Linked DNA regions of Sus scrofa. The protein of the gene in region 3 interacts with the protein of the main gene of each other region in a pairwise test. Links are inferred from orthologs where the notes say so. Each region holds a gene or a part of one and is shown on either strand. Other genes may lie near its edges.

Evidence for each region.
Region 1: the proteins of UBAC1 (region 3) and CPSF6 interact in a two-hybrid assay, tested with the Homo sapiens proteins (2 studies listed by BioGRID and IntAct). The link is inferred for Sus scrofa from reciprocal best matches to the Homo sapiens genes UBAC1 and CPSF6.
Region 2: the proteins of UBAC1 (region 3) and RNF216 interact in binary tests that used the Homo sapiens proteins (3 or more experiments, as listed by UniProt). The link is inferred for Sus scrofa from reciprocal best matches to the Homo sapiens genes UBAC1 and RNF216.

Annotation. Positions count from the first base shown.
Region 1 is NC_010447.5:33,522,851-33,529,315, forward strand, and holds the start of CPSF6 (cleavage and polyadenylation specificity factor subunit 6), read left to right. Parts: upstream 1-2,817; 5' UTR 2,818-2,913; coding exon 2,914-2,973; intron 2,974-6,465. UniProt on the Homo sapiens protein: Component of the cleavage factor Im (CFIm) complex that functions as an activator of the pre-mRNA 3'-end cleavage and polyadenylation processing required for the maturation of pre-mRNA into functional mRNAs.
Region 2 is NC_010445.4:4,275,248-4,281,146, reverse strand, and holds part of RNF216 (E3 ubiquitin-protein ligase RNF216), read left to right. Parts: intron 1-1,566; coding exon 1,567-1,669; intron 1,670-3,602; coding exon 3,603-3,767; intron 3,768-5,899.
Region 3 is NW_018084833.1:1,654,762-1,661,421, forward strand, and holds the start of UBAC1 (ubiquitin-associated domain-containing protein 1), read left to right. Parts: upstream 1-2,572; 5' UTR 2,573-2,608; coding exon 2,609-2,746; intron 2,747-6,660.

The DNA.
Region 1 (6,465 bases), on a different chromosome or scaffold from region 3:
TAATAAATGAGCTTAACACTACAGGAGAGAGAATAAGTAATCCAGAAAATATATCAGAAAAAAAAAGCTATTCAAAATAGAGCATTGGGAGATAAAAGCATAGAAAATAAAAAAGAGAAAAGAGAAATAGTGGTAGTTCCTGTTGTGGCTCAGCAGGTTAAAAACTTGACTAGTATCCATGAGGATGTGGGTTTGATCCCTGGCCTCACTCAGTGGGTTAAGGAGCCAGCATTAGCATGAGCTATGGTATAGGTGGCAGATGTGGCTCAGATCCCGCATTGTTGTGGCTGTGGTGTAGGCTGGCAGCTATAGCTCTGATTAAGCCCTTAGCCTGGGAACTTCCATATGCAGCAGGTGTGGGCCTAAAAAAGCAAAAAAAAAAAAAAAAAAAAAAAAAAAAAAAGAGAGAGAGAGAGAGAGAAATAGTGGATAGAAAGATGTAACATATATTAAACTGGCATTATAGGAGAGAAAAAGGAGTGGGGCAGAAGCAATATTTGAAGAGGTAATGTCTGAGTATTTTCCAGAATTCATGAAAGGCATCAATCAATATATTCAATTCCAATGAACTCCAATCATCATTTAAAGCAATAAACCAACAAACCCTCCAAATATAGATAATAAAAGAGCACAAAACCACACAGCCTAAGAGAAAAAAATTGTGAGTATTCAGGTGGGAAAAAAAAAACCCAATGACCTTCAAAAATACAGTCAGACTAAGAAGTGATTTTTCACAGATAGCAACAGAAGTCTTAGAATAGGATTTTTTTTTTTTTTTTTTTTTGCTTTTTAGGGTTGCACAGGTGGCATATGGAGGTTCCCAGGTTAGGGGTTGAATCAGAGCTGCAGCTGCTGGCCTCCACCACTGCTCAAGGCAACACCGGATCCTTAACCTACTGAGTGAGGCCAGGGATCAAACCTTCAACCTCATGGTTCCTAGTCGGATTTGTTCCGCTGTGCCATAAAGGGAACTCCCTAGAATGATTTTTAAACTACTGAAAGAACATAAACTGCTTTCATCATCTTGTCTCCTGACCCTTGCCTTGCCCTTTCACTTATAAGGACTCACCAAGAAATCCAGGATAATCTCCCTTTCCCAAGATCCTTAACTTAATCACACCTGCAAAGTCTGTTTTGGAATGTAAGGTAACATATTCACAGATTCCAGGGATTGAGATGTGGCCGTCTATGATGGGCCATTATTGTGCCTGCCACATTACTAATCTAAAACATGCTCTTACCCTTCATCAGGAGTGGCTTTCTTCTGTAAAGCCCTAAGCAAAAAACGAAGAAAGTGTGTTGCCAAGAAGCAGAAGGCATTTTTCATATGACTTCGTTTAAAGCACTATTAACTTTCAACATTGGTGAGGTAAATATTACTACTTCAACTTTAAAGATTCTGAGATTGAACATGAGAGAGGTTAGGTAACTTGACTGAGGTCATCTAGCCAGTAAAGTGTCTGACTAGAAATTTGTATCCAGATCACCTGGCTGGTCTTGATGACTCCAACCAAGCCTTTCCCATCGTGCCAAGTATAGATATCACTTGGCTTATCATGATTTCTGGGCAGTATGCATCTTATGAAACAGTCTAACTTGGATTTTAAAAAGGGTGAAAAGAAGTAAAGAATGGGAGGTTTCAAGCTGGAGAGACAACTTTGGATAAAGTACAGTAGTCCTCACTTACCTGAGGGCATATATTCCAAGATCCTTAGTGGATGCCTGAAATTGTGGATAGTACTAAACTCTACATATACTGTTTTTTCCTCTATTAACAGGTACGGTGTAAGAGGTGCTAAACAGAGAGATGATTCACTTCCAGGGCTGGTTGGAGTGGGATGGCTAGAGATTTCAAGACTCTACTCACAGAGTTCCCATCCTGGCTCAGTGGTTAATGAATCTGACTAGGAATCATGAGGTTGCAGGTTCAATCCCTGGCTTTCCGCAGTGGGTTAAGGATCTGAACCTTCTTTAAGGAGGGACTACTACATTCATTGGCAGCAAATGCTTTCCTTATTAACCCGAGACTCGGATACACTATTTAGCTTCTTTAGGCCTCAGTTACCTCTCTCATCTGTAAAATTAGATATTTGGACCTAATGACACCTTTTCCAGTTCCCTCTCCGATATTCTGTGATTCTAAGAGGCCCCTCGCTTCAACATACCTCTACCTTACTGTGGTGGTGGGAAGGGGAGGGGGGACGAACCCCAGAAGGACTGCCTTCGTGTTAACGGCATTTCAATTACTCCAGAGAAAACCAACTGCAGATCAAAGGAGGAAAAAATGAAAGGCAATGAAGGGAGGAAGAAGAGATTAAAGAAGAGGAGGGAGATACCAATGGAAAGATAAACAGCATGCAAATAACCTAAGTAGCATGCAAATAACTCAAGATAACCTTCTAGGGTACCTAGTTTTTACAAGGCAACCCTATCTCAGTAGCCCTCTGAAGATACAGGGGTAAGACACTGCTCTCTTCCCAAGGCGCTCACAGAAAGCGGGGTTACACTTCGTATTTCATCTTGGACCTAAAACTTCCACCTCTCTAAAAACCCTGGCTGTGAGAAATATAAGAAAAGCCGACAAATGCAAATATTACCAAACGTTTGAGAGTGCCAGAGCTCCGAGACAACAGTCTCTGGAAACAAGTGGGACCACCCCCTGCCCCGCCCCCCGAGCCTAACCCAGACACACAAAAGAAACCGCCGGTGCACTGGGAGCTGCAGATTCCGCTCTCGGCGGGCCGAGCCGGCAGCGGCTGAGGAGCCCGGCGCCCCCGGCCGCCCCCGCCTCGGCCCTTGGGCCTCGGAAGTGACGCAGCGCGCCCCGCCCCCGCCGCTAGATCCGCTGCTGCTGCCGCGGCTGGCGGACCTGCAGGAGGCGGCGGCGGCGGCGGCGGCCGAGGCCGAGGGAAGATGGCGGACGGTGTGGACCACATAGACATTTACGCGGATGTGGGCGAAGAGTTCAACCAGGTACGTGAGGGCCCGGGCTCACGCCGCCGAGTTGGGCGGCGCTACGGGCGGGAAGAGGACTCGGGGCCCGCCGCGGGCCGCGAGCCGGCGTGGCTGCAGACCGTGCGCCCTTGGCGCCTGTGGGCCGCGCCGCCCGACCCCGGCGCGGCGCCCCCCTTGCCCGTCGTTCTACCGCGTCGTTTCACGGGCCGCGGGCGCGGCGACCTGCCACGGGGCTCCGAGCGCGGACGCCGGCCGCCGTGCAGCCACCTCCTGCCCCTCCCGCGCCTCCGCCTCGCTCTCCATTGTTGGCGGCGGCCGGCGGGCGCTTCCCGCCGCGCTAGGCCCGGGCGGCAGGACGGCGTGTGCGCGGCGGGGAGAACGGCGGCCCCGGCGCCCCCTCCCCCGCCGCCGGGGCGAGGAGGAAGCCCGGCGGGGCGCGCGCCGGCCGCCGCCTCGCCCCCAGCCCTGCCGCTCGGACTCCGATTCCTCCAGTCGCTCCATTTTGTCTGCCTTTCGGTGCACGGTCGCCTCATGGAAGGCCGCGTTCACGGCCCTTTGTATCCCGCGCGCCCTGCTTCCTGGGCTCTCCTGCTCGCGTTTGCGACAGGTTTCGGCGTGGTGCCTTCCTCCTCCTCCCTTCACTCTTTAGGAAGGAGGCTAAGGTGCGGGCACGTTTGCAACAAGTCCTTTGACTTGGGATCGTGTGTGAAAGTCGGTGGCGCTGGCCCTGCCCCGGTGGTCGAGGGCTTACGGTGCCTTTGAGGCCCAGCTGCTCTTGGCCTTTGTGATGAAAATACCAGTTAGATCGGTGGCTCGGGCCAAAAGGAAGACTTGGAAGCGCGATGGTTGGATGGAATAAAAAAGGTAGCTCACCAAGAGATCAGAGTTGTGATTAAAGAATTTCACACGCATTTCATATGGTATAGTTTTAAAATAAAGGTTGTAGCAATGAACCGATTTCCAAAAGCAAAATGTTTAGTGTCCTCCGAGGAGTTAAGAGAGGCCAGAGAAAGTGAGAATGCAAGGTTTTTTTTCTTGTATCGCAGGCCGCAGTTGCCTAGAAGGACTAGCCGCAGGAGCTGTGATGTCTGATGTTGAGCATCCTTGTAAAAGGTTGTTACTAGAGTAGTGACGTTTAAGCTGTAAACCTACTGTTCACATTTTTACTGCCTTTTATGTAGCAACACATTTTAAAAAAATCAAATTGTGCCCGACTGCAGTGTACGTAAAGGCTTTATTTTTTTCATATTTTCCAAGTCCTTATGAGAAGCTCAGTAAAATTCTACTGGTTAATGTGTTTTTGTGGGTTTCGAAAAAACCCTCTCCATTAAGACTCTTATTTGTGACGCAAGATTTTTTTTTTTTTTTAATAGAGAAAGCTGGAAATCCTTGCAGGTCTTTTTTTGAAGATTGATTGTATCCCTGTTTTAAATATTAGAAAAAAAATTCAGTTAGCTTTAATGTTTCCTATTCCGTTTATATATTTAAATGTAACCCGTTGTAATCAAACGTGAAGTTTGAAAATCTGTCTTCTTTTTATTGTGTTTACATTTTGGATATGTGATTCCTGAGATGTGTCAATGACATTTTAGAAAATTACCTTGAGTGCTACATGGTCAGATTCTAAGCTTTTTTAAGGTCTGTAGACAAAGACTTCTAGGAAATTTCCTTTCCTTTTATTAAATGAGTATAACATTGCATAGAAAAGAGGTCCATATCTGCAAGTAAAGGAACAATTAAGTGTTCAACAGTCTTCGTTAGCTTTCTTACAAGAAAATTTACTGTTTTTCTCCCCATGTTAAAAGAAGAATTGAGCTACACTTTTAGAAGTTGAGCTTTCTTCAGAACCTTTTAATGGAACATTTTTTAAGCTTTGGCATACTTAATTTGGGATGGACATTTCTCTAATCTGTATAGCTGGATGGAGTGATACTTGCTTATCCCTGTGCAGTAACTAGTGCTGACTGAGCAGGAGGTAAGGAGAGATTAAAATTTTGTGGCACCAATGAGGAACTGCTTTATAGGGTTCTTGTAAAAATGTAACTTTTTGTTGACTTGTTCCTATAGCATATGTTTCTCACATAGTTGTATGATTTTACCAATAAAATCTTTGTACTTTTGAATAGGTTAATGGAATTAAATAGAGGCTTTGTTGTTGTTATTGTGCATTGATTGGCCTTTGCAATCTACTGCTTGCTGTGGTAGTTCCTGGTTGAAATATGGCCACAAAAAGATGGTTGGTTGTTTTCAAGGTTTGTCCTTCATTTAAAAAAATGTAGGTATCATTGAAATATTTTTCTGAAATCTTGTCAGAATTAGAAGCAACTACAGAATTACTGTGATTGATTTAATTCACTTTCTAATTCGCTGGCAACCTTACTTCTACTGGTTGCTCTAGTAAAGTGACTCTTATTTTGTTGTAGTCGAGTAAAATGTTTTGCTAAATATAATGGGTCATGGCTTATTTTGACTTCTAAACTACTGTAAACATTTAAAAACAACCTTTAATTAAACTGTATTCTCTTAAATTCTTTGTAGTTTATGTATTTTCCATTTTCTTCTGTTTTAAATGGCCATACTTTTATGATCCTTTTTTCCATGTGTGTATTTTGGTAAAGCTCATTATAAACCTGTTGCAGAAAGTGTAAGACATTACATTTTTTGTCTTAGAAGAAACTTTAATTTGGGGATGGTGTGAGAATAAGTTAGTGAAAGTATAGTGTAGTTCCTTTCTTCACCAGGTGAATTAAGAATGGAGAATGAAATTGGAGGAGAGAAGGCACAGGGACTCCGCTATTCTTTATAGATGCTCTTTAGTTCTTTAAACTGAAGGTCTTTGGATGTAACCAAATCGAGAACAGTTGCCCCAGTGGAAGAAGGATTTGAAGTACTTGCAAACCTCCGCATTACTTGAATTCACTTTGAACTGAGATTTGTACTCAAATGTAGTAGTTACTAGCCTAATATTTAATATTTATAGACTTTTATTTTCACCAAAACAAGATAAAAAAATTTAAACCATATTGTTCTGTATACATTTCTTGAGTATACATCCCGCCCATCAGGAGGGATATAAATTTTGGGTAGTCTCCCCTTGGATTATACTGTAGTGGGGTTGAGAGACACCTACCTAATTATAACACCCTGACAGATGATGTATTATAATAAACCACTCCTTTATGTGTATCTTTATCTGTAGAATGTTGTTGGCAGAGGAGAGCAAAGATGAATTCTGTGAACATGAGGAAAGCTTATGCTAGGTGCATTGATGTAGTGTTATTTTGTTTGTTTGGAGAGCCAAAGGTCCTAGTTAGGATTCAGTTATTGATGTACTTGGTGGTAGGTGACTGATAGCAGTGCTCACTTAGTAATTTGAGCATTCAACTTTAAAGTGATTTAAAATGAAAATGTATAAACGTAGTAGAAAAAATTTATTTCGAAGTTATGGACTTAGACATCCTTATAAATCAGCTTGCCTTTATTTTTTAATTTTTAATTGCCTTTATTTTT
Region 2 (5,899 bases), on a different chromosome or scaffold from region 3:
TGTATAGTTGTTAAAGAGTGTTCTAATTTCATTCTTATACAGGTAGCTGTCCAGTTTTCCCAGCACCTCTTACTGAAGAGACGTTTTTCCCTCCATTGTATGTTCTTGCCTCCTTTGTCCTAGATGAGCTGATCATAGAAAACTTTTTTTTTCCCTTGGCTTCCCCGAGGCGTATGGCCAAGGATCACATTCACGCACAATTGCAACCCCAGCTGCAGCAGCAGCAATGCCAGATCTTTAACCCACTGTGCCAGGCCGAGGCTCGAAACTGTGTCCCAGTCCTTCCAAGATGCCACTGATCCCACTGCGCCACAGCAGGAACTCCATATAGAAAACTGGGGTTTTTTTTTGGGGGGGGGTGTCTTTTTTTTTCCTAGAGCTGCACCCTCAGCGTATGGAGGTTCCCAGGCTAGGGATCTAATCTGAGCTGTAGCCACCGGCCTACCCCGGGGCCACAGAAACTAGGGATCGTCTGTGGCCTACACCACAGCTCACGGCAATGCTGAATCCTTAACCCACTGAGCGAGGCCAAGGATCAGACCTGCCACCTCATGGTTCCTAGTCAGATTCTTTAACCACTGAGCCATGATGGAAACTTCCTAGAAAACTTTTTTTTTTTTTTTTTTTGTCTTTTTGCCATTTTCTTGGGCTACTCCCACGGCATATGGAGGTTCCCAGGCTAGGGGTCCAATCGGAGCTGTAGCCACCGGCCTACACCAGAGCCACAGCAATGCAGGATCCGAGCCACATCTGCGACCTTCACCACAGCTCACAGCAACGTCAATCCTTAACCCACTGAGCAAGACCAGGGATCAAACCCACAACCTCATGGTTCCTAGTCAGATTCGTTAACCACTGAGCTACGCGGGAACTCCTAGAAAACTGTTTTTAATTGTGAATGTAAATACAAACTTTTTCCCATCCCTTAAAGTTTTCCTGACAAACAATAGCTGCTTTTCATCTAAATTCTCCAGTTCCATACAGTTCAACCAGTAAGAATTTCAGTGAATCCATAACATTGATACCCAAGTAATAGAAAAAATTCAGAATGTACATTTATCTGGTATTCATCAGTATGTTTATTACTTTTTAAATTAGCAAGTAAAAATAGGGATTCAGTGTAATTTTCTTGTCTTTTTTTTTTTTTTTTTTTTTTTTTTGCTATTTCTTGGGGCATATGGAGGTTCCCAGGCTAGGGGTCAAATCAGAGCTGTAGCCACCAGCCTACGCCAGAGCCACAGCAACGTGGGATCCAAGCCGCATCTGCAACCTACACCACAGCTCACAGCAATGCCGGATCCTTAACCCACTGAGCGAGGGCAGGGACTGAACCCTCAACCTCATGGTTCCTAGTCGGATTCGTTAACCACTGCACCACGATGGGAACTTCCATTTTCTTTTATCTATTAATTTGGGTTTTCCCCCTGATCCGTAAATGTTTTAATTCCTTGGTAGGTCATTTATAATGTGTGACTAGAGAATTTATTTTTTAAACATTACATTTGAATCAGTAGGCAGGTGTGGGATTTGGAAGCAGTATCAAAGTAACATCATTTATTTTTGCAGACTTTGTAATTTTCTTCTGGAAAATCCAGATTATCCAAAGAGAGAAGATAGAATCATTATCAACCCCAATAGCAGCCTGCTTGCCAGCCATGATGAGACAAAGGCAAGTTGTGCTCTTGTTTTGGAGTGTCTTCCTGGAAATGCTCTGCTCCTTTCGTCGTTTGTATGGGAATCAAGTGCTTTGTCAGGATGCTTTTTTTTTACAGCTGTCCAGGAGAATAGCATTTCAGAATATATTTATATTCCAGTAATAAGTATATGTGTGTATTTATATATATTTCTGAGCCACTTTGAATTCTGTATTTGGCTGCTTTCATTGCACCCCTGTCTTTCCTTCCCCACAAGGAATTAAACGAATCTTCCACATCTCTAATCCTACAAAGCAAGTACCTAAGATGAAACAAGAATTGGCTGGGATTCTTTGGATCATTTTAGGTTTTAACATTTTATTTTGAAAATTTTCAAACATACAGTAAAGGCAAAGGAATTCTCCTTTGATTACCTATATACCCCCAGCAGTACTATTAAAAATGAACGTTTTACTGTGTCCATTTTGTCACACATCCATCCCTCAGGATTTATATTTTATTTTATTATAATGCATTTCAAAGTAAATGCAAAAACATCACTGTGCTGTGCCGTAAATACTTGAGCATGCAGATTATTGCCTAGAGTTGAATATCTGTCTATAGCTATTCTTTTTTGTGTAAGACTTATATACAGTGCATCCACCTATGTAACCAAATCCCATATCAAGGTATATAAACAGTTGGGTTTTTAAAAACCTTAATCACTGTCTTCATTTGTTCTTTTGTTTGTTTTGGGTTTTGTTTTTTTGTTTTTTTGTTTTTTCTTTTGCCTTTTTAGGGCCACGCCCACGGCATGCGGGTGTTCCCAGGCTAGGAGTCTAATCGGAGCTGTAGCTGCCGGCCTATGCTACAGCCACAGCAACGCCAGATCTAAGCCTCGTCTGTGACCTACACCACAGCTCACTGCAACACCGGATCCTTAACCCACTGAGCAAGGCCAGGGATCGAACCTGCAACCTCATGGTTCCTAGTTGGACTCGTTTCCACTGCGCCAAGACGGAAATTCCCATTGTCTTCATTTGTGATCCAAACTAGCATTTATTGTCCTAAGTGGTGGAAGGAAGGTATAGTTTAGAACTGCTTCACTGGAATCTATTGTTTGATACTTCTTCTTCCCCACAAATTCTTTTTGGCTATTCCTTTTATGTACAGGCATTACTCATTTTGCTACTCTTCATTTTATTGCACTTTGCAGATGTTACGATTTTTTTTTTTTTTTAGCAAATTGAAGGTTTGTGGCAGCCCTGCATTGAGTAAGTCGGTCATTGCCACTTTTCCCATAGCTTGGTCTCTATATTACTTTTTGGTAATTTTCACAATATTTCAGACTTTTTCATTATTATATTTGTTGTGGTGACCTGTGATCAGTGACTTGATGTTGCTATTGAGAAAAGGTTGACTTGCTGAAAGCTCAGATGATATTTAGCATTTTTTAGCAGTAAAGTATTTCTTAATTGAGATATGTACTTTTTTTAGACATATGCTTTTGCACACTTAATAGACTACAGTATGGTATAAATGTAACTATAACTTTTCTATGAACTGGGAAACCAGAAGATTTGTCTGACTTGGAAGTCTATTTCAGTGATCTGGAATCAAACCTGCATTATCTCCAAAGTATGCCTATATTTTTCAGCTAGAAAAAAAAAAAGTCCTTTTTTCTCAGCATTTTGTGGAAAGAAAATGGCTAAAAGATTGGGTTTAAATCCCCAGCTCTACTTTTTCATAGTTCCAACTAGTAAAACTAGTCTCCAGACTCCAGACAGGCTGTATAATCTTTCTGAACCACCATTTCTTCATCTCTCTTCAGGGCTGGTATCTTCCTTAAGCGTAATTATGAGTACAAGTCAGATTAATCTGTTCTGTAAGAGGTAATTCTTCAAATGATTTCCTCCTCCCGGCAAATGCACCATCTGCCTCTAATGGTGTACCTGTCTCTCGTTTCAGTTGCCTAAGATAGACTTTTTTGACTACTCTAAATTGGCTCCTCTTGACCAGCGCTGCTTCATCCAAGCTGCTGACCTCCTGATGGCCGACTTCAAAATGCTGAGCAGTCAGGACATCAAGTGGGCCCTGCATGAGCTCAAAGGACACTATGCAATCACCCGAAAGGTGCTCTACCTGTCTCCCTAGTGGGCTCATACCTCTTGATTGCTTCTTCCGGTGGTAACAGAATGAAGAGTTCAGCTTGTGGAAATTGGGATGGTTTATGATGGCAGAGAGCAAAGGAGTTTGGCAGGGTGAAGATACATAGACAAAGGTATTTGCTGATCAGGAAGAACCGAATGAAAAGAAATACAGACTAGAAGCAGGGCAGTTCTGTTTTGACCGTAAAGACACGGAGGATGATGAATTTTACTGCGGAATGAAGGATTACTAGAGTATAACAAACATGTTCCAGCGCTGCTCCTCCTTGATTTGCTTTCTGACTTGGGGCTGGTCACACCATCCTTCCCCTGATAGCTCAGTTGCTAGTTGCATGAAGTAGGGTCTGTAAAGGGCCCAGGAACCCATCACTGCCCAAGGAGTGGTGGTTTGTCGCAGAAGAGAATGAGCAGCTACTGAAAGCTCTCAAGGATTTTTTTTTTTTTTTTTTTTTTTTCCCCTTTGAGGCCCTAGGTAAGATTCTGTTGAGTGCCTTTGTTCCAAGATTTCAGACGGGTGCTGGTCCCTGGTGGGTAACACCCATGCTCCATTTAGTGACGTCCTCTGTGTGGTGCCCATTTCATGGCGGTCTGTCAGAACAGAGAAGCCTCTTCTCTCTCCTGCGCAAGTTCTAGTGATTCTCAGCAAACAGTGTGCTTTTCTTTCCAGAAGGCAAGCAAATGTGGAGTTACTTTAATGGTTAAGACAGCCACTGGGTCTTAACTTGAAAGACAGTGAACCTCAGGTGAATCTGCCGTGTTTATACCCCTTCCACCTGTGGATCACCAAGATCCAGGCAGTCGTCCACAGACTCCTAAATGTAGGCTCATTTTTGGTAAAATTACTCTGAAGGAAACACACAGTGCATCCTGTTTCCGAATCTCATTCCCCATACTAAATAGGGAATGCCTGCCCTGTCGTTGAAAAAGAATGACTCTTCCCTGTCCCCGCACTCCCCCCACCCCCCAGTAGTGACCTGAGAAAGAAAAGGCTCTGTCCTCTTTATGCCCTGCGTGGCATCTTTACTGATCCTGTGGTGCCGCACAGCTTCTCTGAGCTCCCAGGGAGCCGCATGAAAAGTGAGAGGGCAGCACGCAGCAGGAAATAGCGCCTGCGGTCTGGGTATGGTTGGTCCTCATTAGACATGTCCTTGCTACCACCCAGGCATCAGTAAAAGGAACTTTGCTTTCAGATGCTTCTCCCCACTGAATGCCTAATCGTCCCAGAGCCTGCTAGTTATTTGGATGGGAGGTTGTAGGGTTTTGTGCCTTAGTTCTTGTTCATGCCTTCCTTATCTCTGACCGTGTTTTTCTGGCCTTTCATGTTTTTTATGGTGTCTGCTGGTTTTGGTGGGTAATTTTTAAATTTACAGGACTTTTGGAAAAAAGGGTTGTGAAATTTGAATGAGCATAAGGTGTTAAGGAGAAATAATGTTTGGCAGAAGCTAAAATCTGATGTGCTCAGTTAGAACTTGGAGCCTTTCCCTGCTGTCTCCATGTGGTACATGAGAGTTCGGCCTTGTAGGAAGTGACGCTCACGTGGTCAGGGCCATAGAAAACGCACCCGGAGATGCTTCCTGGTTATAGCAGTAGCACGTCTTCCCCGTGCCGCTCCCCGAACATGACAGCTGAGGGAAGGTGTGCTGACAGAGTCAATTTTCCCTGGACGTCTCTTCCTGTCACTTGTTACTGTGACCATCAAGCGCACAGAGAAGTAGAGATGACCTTGCAGCACACCCTGCGTGCTGCCACTCAGCTGCGGCTCTCAGCAGCCCCTGCCAGTCCCGCTCCACTTCCACCCTACCCACTTGCTCCCGCCCAGCCTGCTTGGAAGGAAATTCCAAGCATCATTTCATTTTTTTCATCCATAAGTATTTCAAGGTTTATCTTTAAAAAATAGAGACAAGGACAATAATTAAAAAAAAAAAAAAAACCACTTCAAATACCACAGTCAGATTGTAAAATTAACATCATTGGCTGTCCAGGCAGTGGTCAGATTTCTCTGAACATGTCAAAAGTCTTAAACAACTTGTTTGGTCATAGCGAGTTCCAAGCAAAATGTATTTATTGCAGTTGCTTGAAATGTTACTTAAATCTCTT
Region 3 (6,660 bases):
ATCGGGGCATCGGGACGCGTGCGGGGAGGCTCGGTGGATGGAGGATTCTGGACGCGTGAGGCCTGAGTGATTTGGCTGATCAGGGCGCTTTTAGCCAGTTTGTTACTGACATCGTGAGAGGAAGGGGCTCCCCGGTCCCCGTCCCACACACTGAAAAGGATGCCTTTGGAACCACAGAGGCCAGGGACGCCCCCAAGCACTGGGACACCCAGTATCTGAGGAGCCCCTTCAGCCCCAGTGGTCAGGGCTCTTCCTGGCCCCCCAAGACAGTCTCTCTGGGGCCATGTGGCATCTCCAGGTCCCCCACAGGCTTATATTTCTCCTTGAAATGCTCCCTTTGGGTTCCTTGGGGCCGCACTCAGAATGTCACGCACCCCCTTTGCTCGGTCTCCACGGCTCTTCTGTAAAGTGTGTGTGTGTGTGGGGGGGGGGTTGGCAGCGCCACGGTCTCAGCCACCAGCCACGCTGCGCATTGACAGCTGCCTGACCCTTGACCCCAGGCCAGACTTCTCTCCCGGACTCCAGCCTTCCCATGCAGCCCCTTCTCCACCAGGCTCCCTGTCACCCAGGCTGGAAGCCTTTCTGTTACTCTTCCTCCTGCATGTGTTTACAGACGCCCTCTGTCAAAGGTCCCCACCCGTCCCCGTCGCTGTCTGCCTTGCCTCGGGTCCCCTGTCCCCCCTCCCCCATGGCTCCTCTGCAGGCCCGGTGGCTCAGTGACACGCCTGACCTGGCTGCACATGGCCCCTCCAGCCTCCTCCCCGCCAGTTCCCTTCCGTCCTGGATCCTCTTCTTCTCCACGCCTCCTCCTCAGCCTTCATGTGCCTTCGCGGCCCGGAGTCCGCTCCCCGGCGCCTCCCCTCCAGGCCCTGCTGGCCCCCCAGGTCGCCCGTCTTGTGCGACCGTGTCCGCACAACCGCCAGCACGTGTACCTCCTGCGTGAGAACACACATTCCCAGGACTCTACCTTGGCCTCCAGCTTAATCATGACTATATTTTCAGTGAGCAGCGAGGGGCTGGCTCAGGGAGGCAGTCAGTCAATGGACAAAGGGAACTTGGACGTGGTGGGAAGCGTGGTGGGGGGAAATCACGTGTGTATGACACGGTGAAGGCGAGAGGGGCTGGGACTGGGTCCCCGTTTAGACGGCCACCCTCCGAGAACAAGAACTGTGTGGCCTTGCTCAGCAAAGGCCCCTGGATGAATGCGGCGGGTGAGGGCGGGTCAGGCACAGGTCAGCTTCCTTCCCTGGGGACGCTCGCGAGCCCGCCGAGCGCACCTCCCCCGAGTCCTTGATCGGAGGATCCAAGCGGGTCGAGGAACCCCAATTGCTTCTTTCTTTTCTTTATTGGTTTTGTTTTTTGTTTTTTAGGGCCACACCCGGGGCATGCGGAGGTTCCCAGGTTAGGGGTCCTATCGGAGCTACAGCTGCCGGCCTGCACCACAGCCACAGCAACGTGGGATTCAAGCTGTGTCTGTGACCTACACACAGCTCACAGCAACGCTGGATCTTTAACCCACTGAGTGAGGTCGGGGATTGAACCCGCGTCCTCATGGATACCACTCGGATTCGTTAACCACTGAGCCACAAAGGGAACTCGGAACTCGGAGAGAACCCGAACTTCTGACAAGCTCTCAGGCACTGCTGCTCCTGGTCCTGGGACCACACTTTGAGAGACTCTGATCTAGGGCAGTGCGGTCCAGAAGGAACCACAGCAGCCACATATGCAATCTAAAAGTATCTAGTAGCCACAGCTTTAAAACGTGAAAAGAGGAGTTCCTGTTTGTGGCTCAGAGATAACGAACCCGGCCAGCATCCATGAGGACGCGGGTGTGACCTCTGGTCTCGCTCAGCGGGTTGGGGATCCCGCGTGATTGTGAGCTGCAGAGTAGGTGGCAGATGCGGCTCTGATCCCAGGTGGCTGTGGCTGTGGCAGAGGCCAGCAGCTGCAGCTGCAGCTACGATGCAACCCCTAGCCTGGGAACTTCCATATGTCCTGGGTTGCGGCTCTTAAAAAAAAAAGGCCAAAAGAAGAAAGTGAAAAGAAGCAGGTGAAACCAACTTTGATGTATTTTACTTAACCCAATATATCCAAACTATTATTTCAACATGTAGGCAAGATATAAACATTAGGAGGTATTCTTCAGGCTCTTTTCCTGCCAGATCTTGAAGATCCATTGCGTATTTCACACTGAGACCCCGTCTCAAAACCAACTCGCAAGCCCACGGCCAGGACCGGACGAAGGAAGCGGCCCGAGAACTACACCTCCCAGCACGCTCCGGGCGCACCCTGACGCATTTCCGGCGCGGCAAAGACGGCGCGCGGCCGCGGGAGAACCACATCTCCCGGCGTGCTCCGGGCGCGCCCTGTGACGCACTTCCTGCGCGGCGGCGGCGGCAGCGCGCCCCCGGCGGCTCGGCGGCGGAGCGAGGCGACGGCTCGGTCCGCGTCGAGTGGCGGGCGGCTGGCCGACGGGAGCCGGGGCGGGGCGGCGGCTGCCAGCGAGGGAGCGCGCGGGCGGCCTAGCCCCGCCCCCGGCCCGCCCGCCCCGGTGACCTTCAGGGCCCGGGCGGCGGGCGCAGGCCCCGGCGGCGGCGGCGGCGGCGCGATGTTCGTGCAGGAGGAGAAGATCTTCGCGGGCAAGGTGCTGCGGCTGCACATCTGCGCGTCGGACGGCGCCGAGTGGCTGGAGGAGGCGACCGAGGACACCTCGGTGGAGAAGCTCAAGGAGCGCTGCCTCAAGCACGTAAGTCCGCCGCGGCTCCAGGCCTCCCCTTCCCTCGCCCCCTTTCCCTGCCGCCCCCCGACACCCGCTGGGCGCGCCTCCGCGAGCCGGCCCTGCGCCCTCCGGTTTCACCTCGACGACCGCCCGGGAGGCGGGGGCACGTCGGGGTGCAGGCGAGGCGAGGCGAAGTCGCCGCCGGAGCGGAGGCTCCTGTGCTTCCAGCATCCGTGCTCGCTGCTGGGGTGGGGGTCGTAGTGTGTCAGCAGCTCCCCGCCGCTGGGAAGTGGTGCCCGCGAAAGTAGGGGCCCGCAGGGAGAGGCGCCTTCTGCTGACCTGCGGAGCTGACTGCTTGGAGCTGTTTCCCGTTGGCTGGCGTGTGGGCCGGGGCCTGGCTTGGCCTCTCCGTAGCTCGAATCCCTTAAAATAGTGCGGCTGCGGGACTCCTCCCTGCGCCCTTGCTTCCCCGAGGCCTGTAAATTGATTACAGGGGTAGGGACAGGAGAAAGGGCTTCTCGCTGAGAGAGTCGGTTTTTAAAGTCTGTTCCCATGTAATACTCCTCGTCCAGCTCCTTAGGTTGCTAGTTTTTGGAACTGGTTCTTGGCTTTATCTCTGTAAACAACCAGCTCTGTAAGGCGGGCTAAGATATCTCTCTATCTGACCCTGGCTGAGGAAACTCTATCCTTTGCACAGTGTAGCGTCTCCATGTCAGAGTTTAGGGTAAAGGAGGCCGCAGCTTTGAGGTGGGCGTTGCGTGTGCTGAATCCCGTGTGTATGAGGTGGTCTCTGGGACCCGCCTGCAGTTGCTGCTGTGTGACTGCCCGCAAGGTGCTTTTGGGTCCTTGGTTCTGTAACTGTCAGAGGCAGGCCAGAGCCCCCTTCTGGAACCTGCAGCCTGCGAGTAACTGTCTTGGTCTCGCATCAGGGAGGCAGACCACCTGGGCTCACACCCTTGGGCAGGTGTGTTTCCAGCACTCTCTTCTCTTCTTCTGACCCAGTCGGGCGATGTCACCATCTAGAAAGCCACCCTGACGGCACTAAGCTGGCACGCTGAGCGCTCCCTGACCATCCAGGCTATTTTGTGTTGCTTGTTTAGTACGGTTTGTGAAGCCCTCCCTGCGGGCTGTGTTCCAGCTGCTGCAGAGGGAGCTCCTCGGGGGTCGGGTTTCTAGTCACACACCCGGAGCCAGACTCGGAGGGCCCAGAGCAGACGTGTGGCGGAATGGGATACGAGCCCGCCGCTCCGTCCCAGACGTCACGGTAAAGCGAGCATCACCATAGAGCTAATTCCACGAATTATCTGGTTCCCCGGTGCATGTCAAATTACCTTTACCCTGCAGTCAGTTCAGTGTGCAGTGGCATCGTGTGTAGAAAAGACGGTCCTTCCTTAAAGATAACGCTGCTGGGAAAATAGCACAATAGACTGGCTTGACAGAGGGTGCCACAAACCTTCAGTTTGCAAAAAGCACACCGTCTGGGAAGTGACATAGGGCAGGCACATAAAACGAGGCATGCCTGGACACGGACAGACCCGCGTGGACATGGCCTGTCACCTGCTGAGTCAGGCAGGGTGACGTCAGCGGGTATATTGGTGTGGCGTCTAGTTTAACTCACGGAAGGTGAGGGTGGCGTTATTTTATGGAGGGGAGCAGAAGCGGGAACTCTTTGGTTCACAGCTGGTTGCTAATGAATCTCAAGAGCACTTGGGTTTAATCAGGCTGCCGGTTTTGACATGAGGCTAATTATTATGTTCCTGATATTATTGCAGTCGGGATTTTTCCTGGCCAGATCCTGCTTTGAGCTGGGGTTTTATTCCGCTCTGCAGTCTCTCCAGGTGTGGAGGTCCAAGCAGCAGGTCCGAGTTTCACAACCAAAGGGTTGACACACGTTGCGGAACTTGGAGCTGAGCTGTCCATGTGCCGCCTCTGTGCCCATCCTGATCTGTGGGCAGAGTTTGCTGCCTCGGGAGCCAGTCAGAAGGCATCGGTTAGGGAGGAGCGTGCTCAGGTTGTGTACTTGACTGTCACCCTGGAAACCAGCCCTGTGCTTCTGTGCTGCCCCCCCCCCCGTTTCCTCTGGTGCAGCTTAAGCTGGCCTTCTTTCTTCCTTCCTTTGTCCCTCTAACCTGAGGGGACACTGTGGGTTCCCCCCCACACACGGAATGTGGCATTTTTTATTATTATTTTTAAAATTTTCCCACTGTGCAGCAAGGGGATCAGATTTTTATTATTTTGTTAATACTTTTTTGTTTGTTTGTTTTTAGGGCCACACCCACGGCACATGGAAGTTCCCAGGCTAGGGGTCGCATTGGAGCTGTGGCTGCCGGCCGACACCACAGCCACGTCAATGCTGATCCTTAACCCACTGAGCAAGGCCCAGGCTTGAACCTGCGTCCTCGTGGATAGGAGTCAGACTCGTTTTCGCTGAGCCATGACCAAGTGCCTGCGTATTTTTTAATTAACAAAGTTGCTTTATCGATGAGTTCCTATCGTAACTCTTACAGAAGTGGATTGCTCCTGTGGCTTTCCTTTCTGGGTTTATGTGAGTTGGGATCACCAGGCTTGGGGGAGGGGCAGAGTAAACCATCCTGTGTGACAGGAGTTTGATGATTTTGAGAAAATGACCCCTGTGACGTGGCGGGTTTTGTCGGTGTGTGTGGCAGCTGGCATGAAGCGGCTGGTGTGCGGCCTGCTCGTGTGGCCGTGCCCTTTTCTCAGATCACACGAAGGTGTATCTTCAAGGGCAGACCACAGCTAGCGTGAGAGAGACTGGTCTCCGTGCCGGGCAGGAGGCCAGCCGGCGGGTGTCCACCCTCCCTGCCCCCGGACGGGCTGTGCTGGGGCCCTGGGCTGCCGCTCCCGGCCTGCTGCCGGCGCCTCTGCTGAGGACAAAGGAAGGAGTGAAATTCGCACGCACAGCAAGGATGACTCATGGTGTGTTTTGCTCTGGCGGCTGTTGACACCCGCAGACTACGGTTTTTGCAGGAAGCTGCTGATGGTTTTGGAAAGTCGTGTTTCATAGACTGTATTCTGGACTTGACTGATCGGCCCGCCTGCCCATCTTAGAACGAGAAGAAGCACGCCCTGTTTCTGGGAGAGGAGCCACTGTGCGGTCACAGGGAGGGGGTCCCCTGTGCTAAAGCCTGCCGGGGGCTGCCGTCCCCTTCGTCCTCCCGCTCACGCCTGCCCAGCCCTGTGTGCGCACTGACAGCCCCTGGGAGTCTGTGTGACCCTCTTTTCCTGTTTCCGGCGGTAGATTTGCCAGAACTCCTGCCTGCTCTTGAGGCCGGCGCAGGGAGGTGAGGGGCCGGTTTCCCTCCTGGGAGCTCGGACGCGTGTGGCGGATCTTTGAGCGCTGGCAGCAGAGCGGGGTGTAAAGTTGCTCTGATGACCGAGGGGGCCGTGGGGACGCTGGCCCTGGGGCCCTGGGGGGGGCAGCTTCCCTCCAGCCTGTGCTTCAGTGCCTCCCCTCGTGTGTCCTGGGGCTTTTGGGCCCCTGAGTAGTGAGATGCAACCACGTGCCCGTTGCCCCACTTCGAGCTCCCGGGGGCGGGGGGCACCACCCCTGGAACTTCTTGGGGTCTCTGTGGCTGTGGCCTGCTGGGCTGGGGGCTGAGCCGAGGCCGGTCGTGTCTGCTCGGGGCCTTGTGGCTTCGGGTGGCCAGGGCCCTGTCCCCTCTCCCTGGGGACCAGCTTCCCTCCCGCTCCGTGTCGCTTACCTGGGGGGTGGGGCTGCACAAGTCACGCTTGGACCGTTAGGTTCTCGGGAAACATGGACCTGCTGGTCTCGTTTTTAAAGCACTCGCCAGGTCTTTCCAGACCAAGGAAGCAGCTCAGGCTGCCGCCCGTTGCCAGCAGGGTATCACGTGTCGAGCTGGGAGCCCGTTTGGGGTGTGGGGAGGGGGTGGACAGGGCGCTGCCTGCGGGGCCAGGTGGCG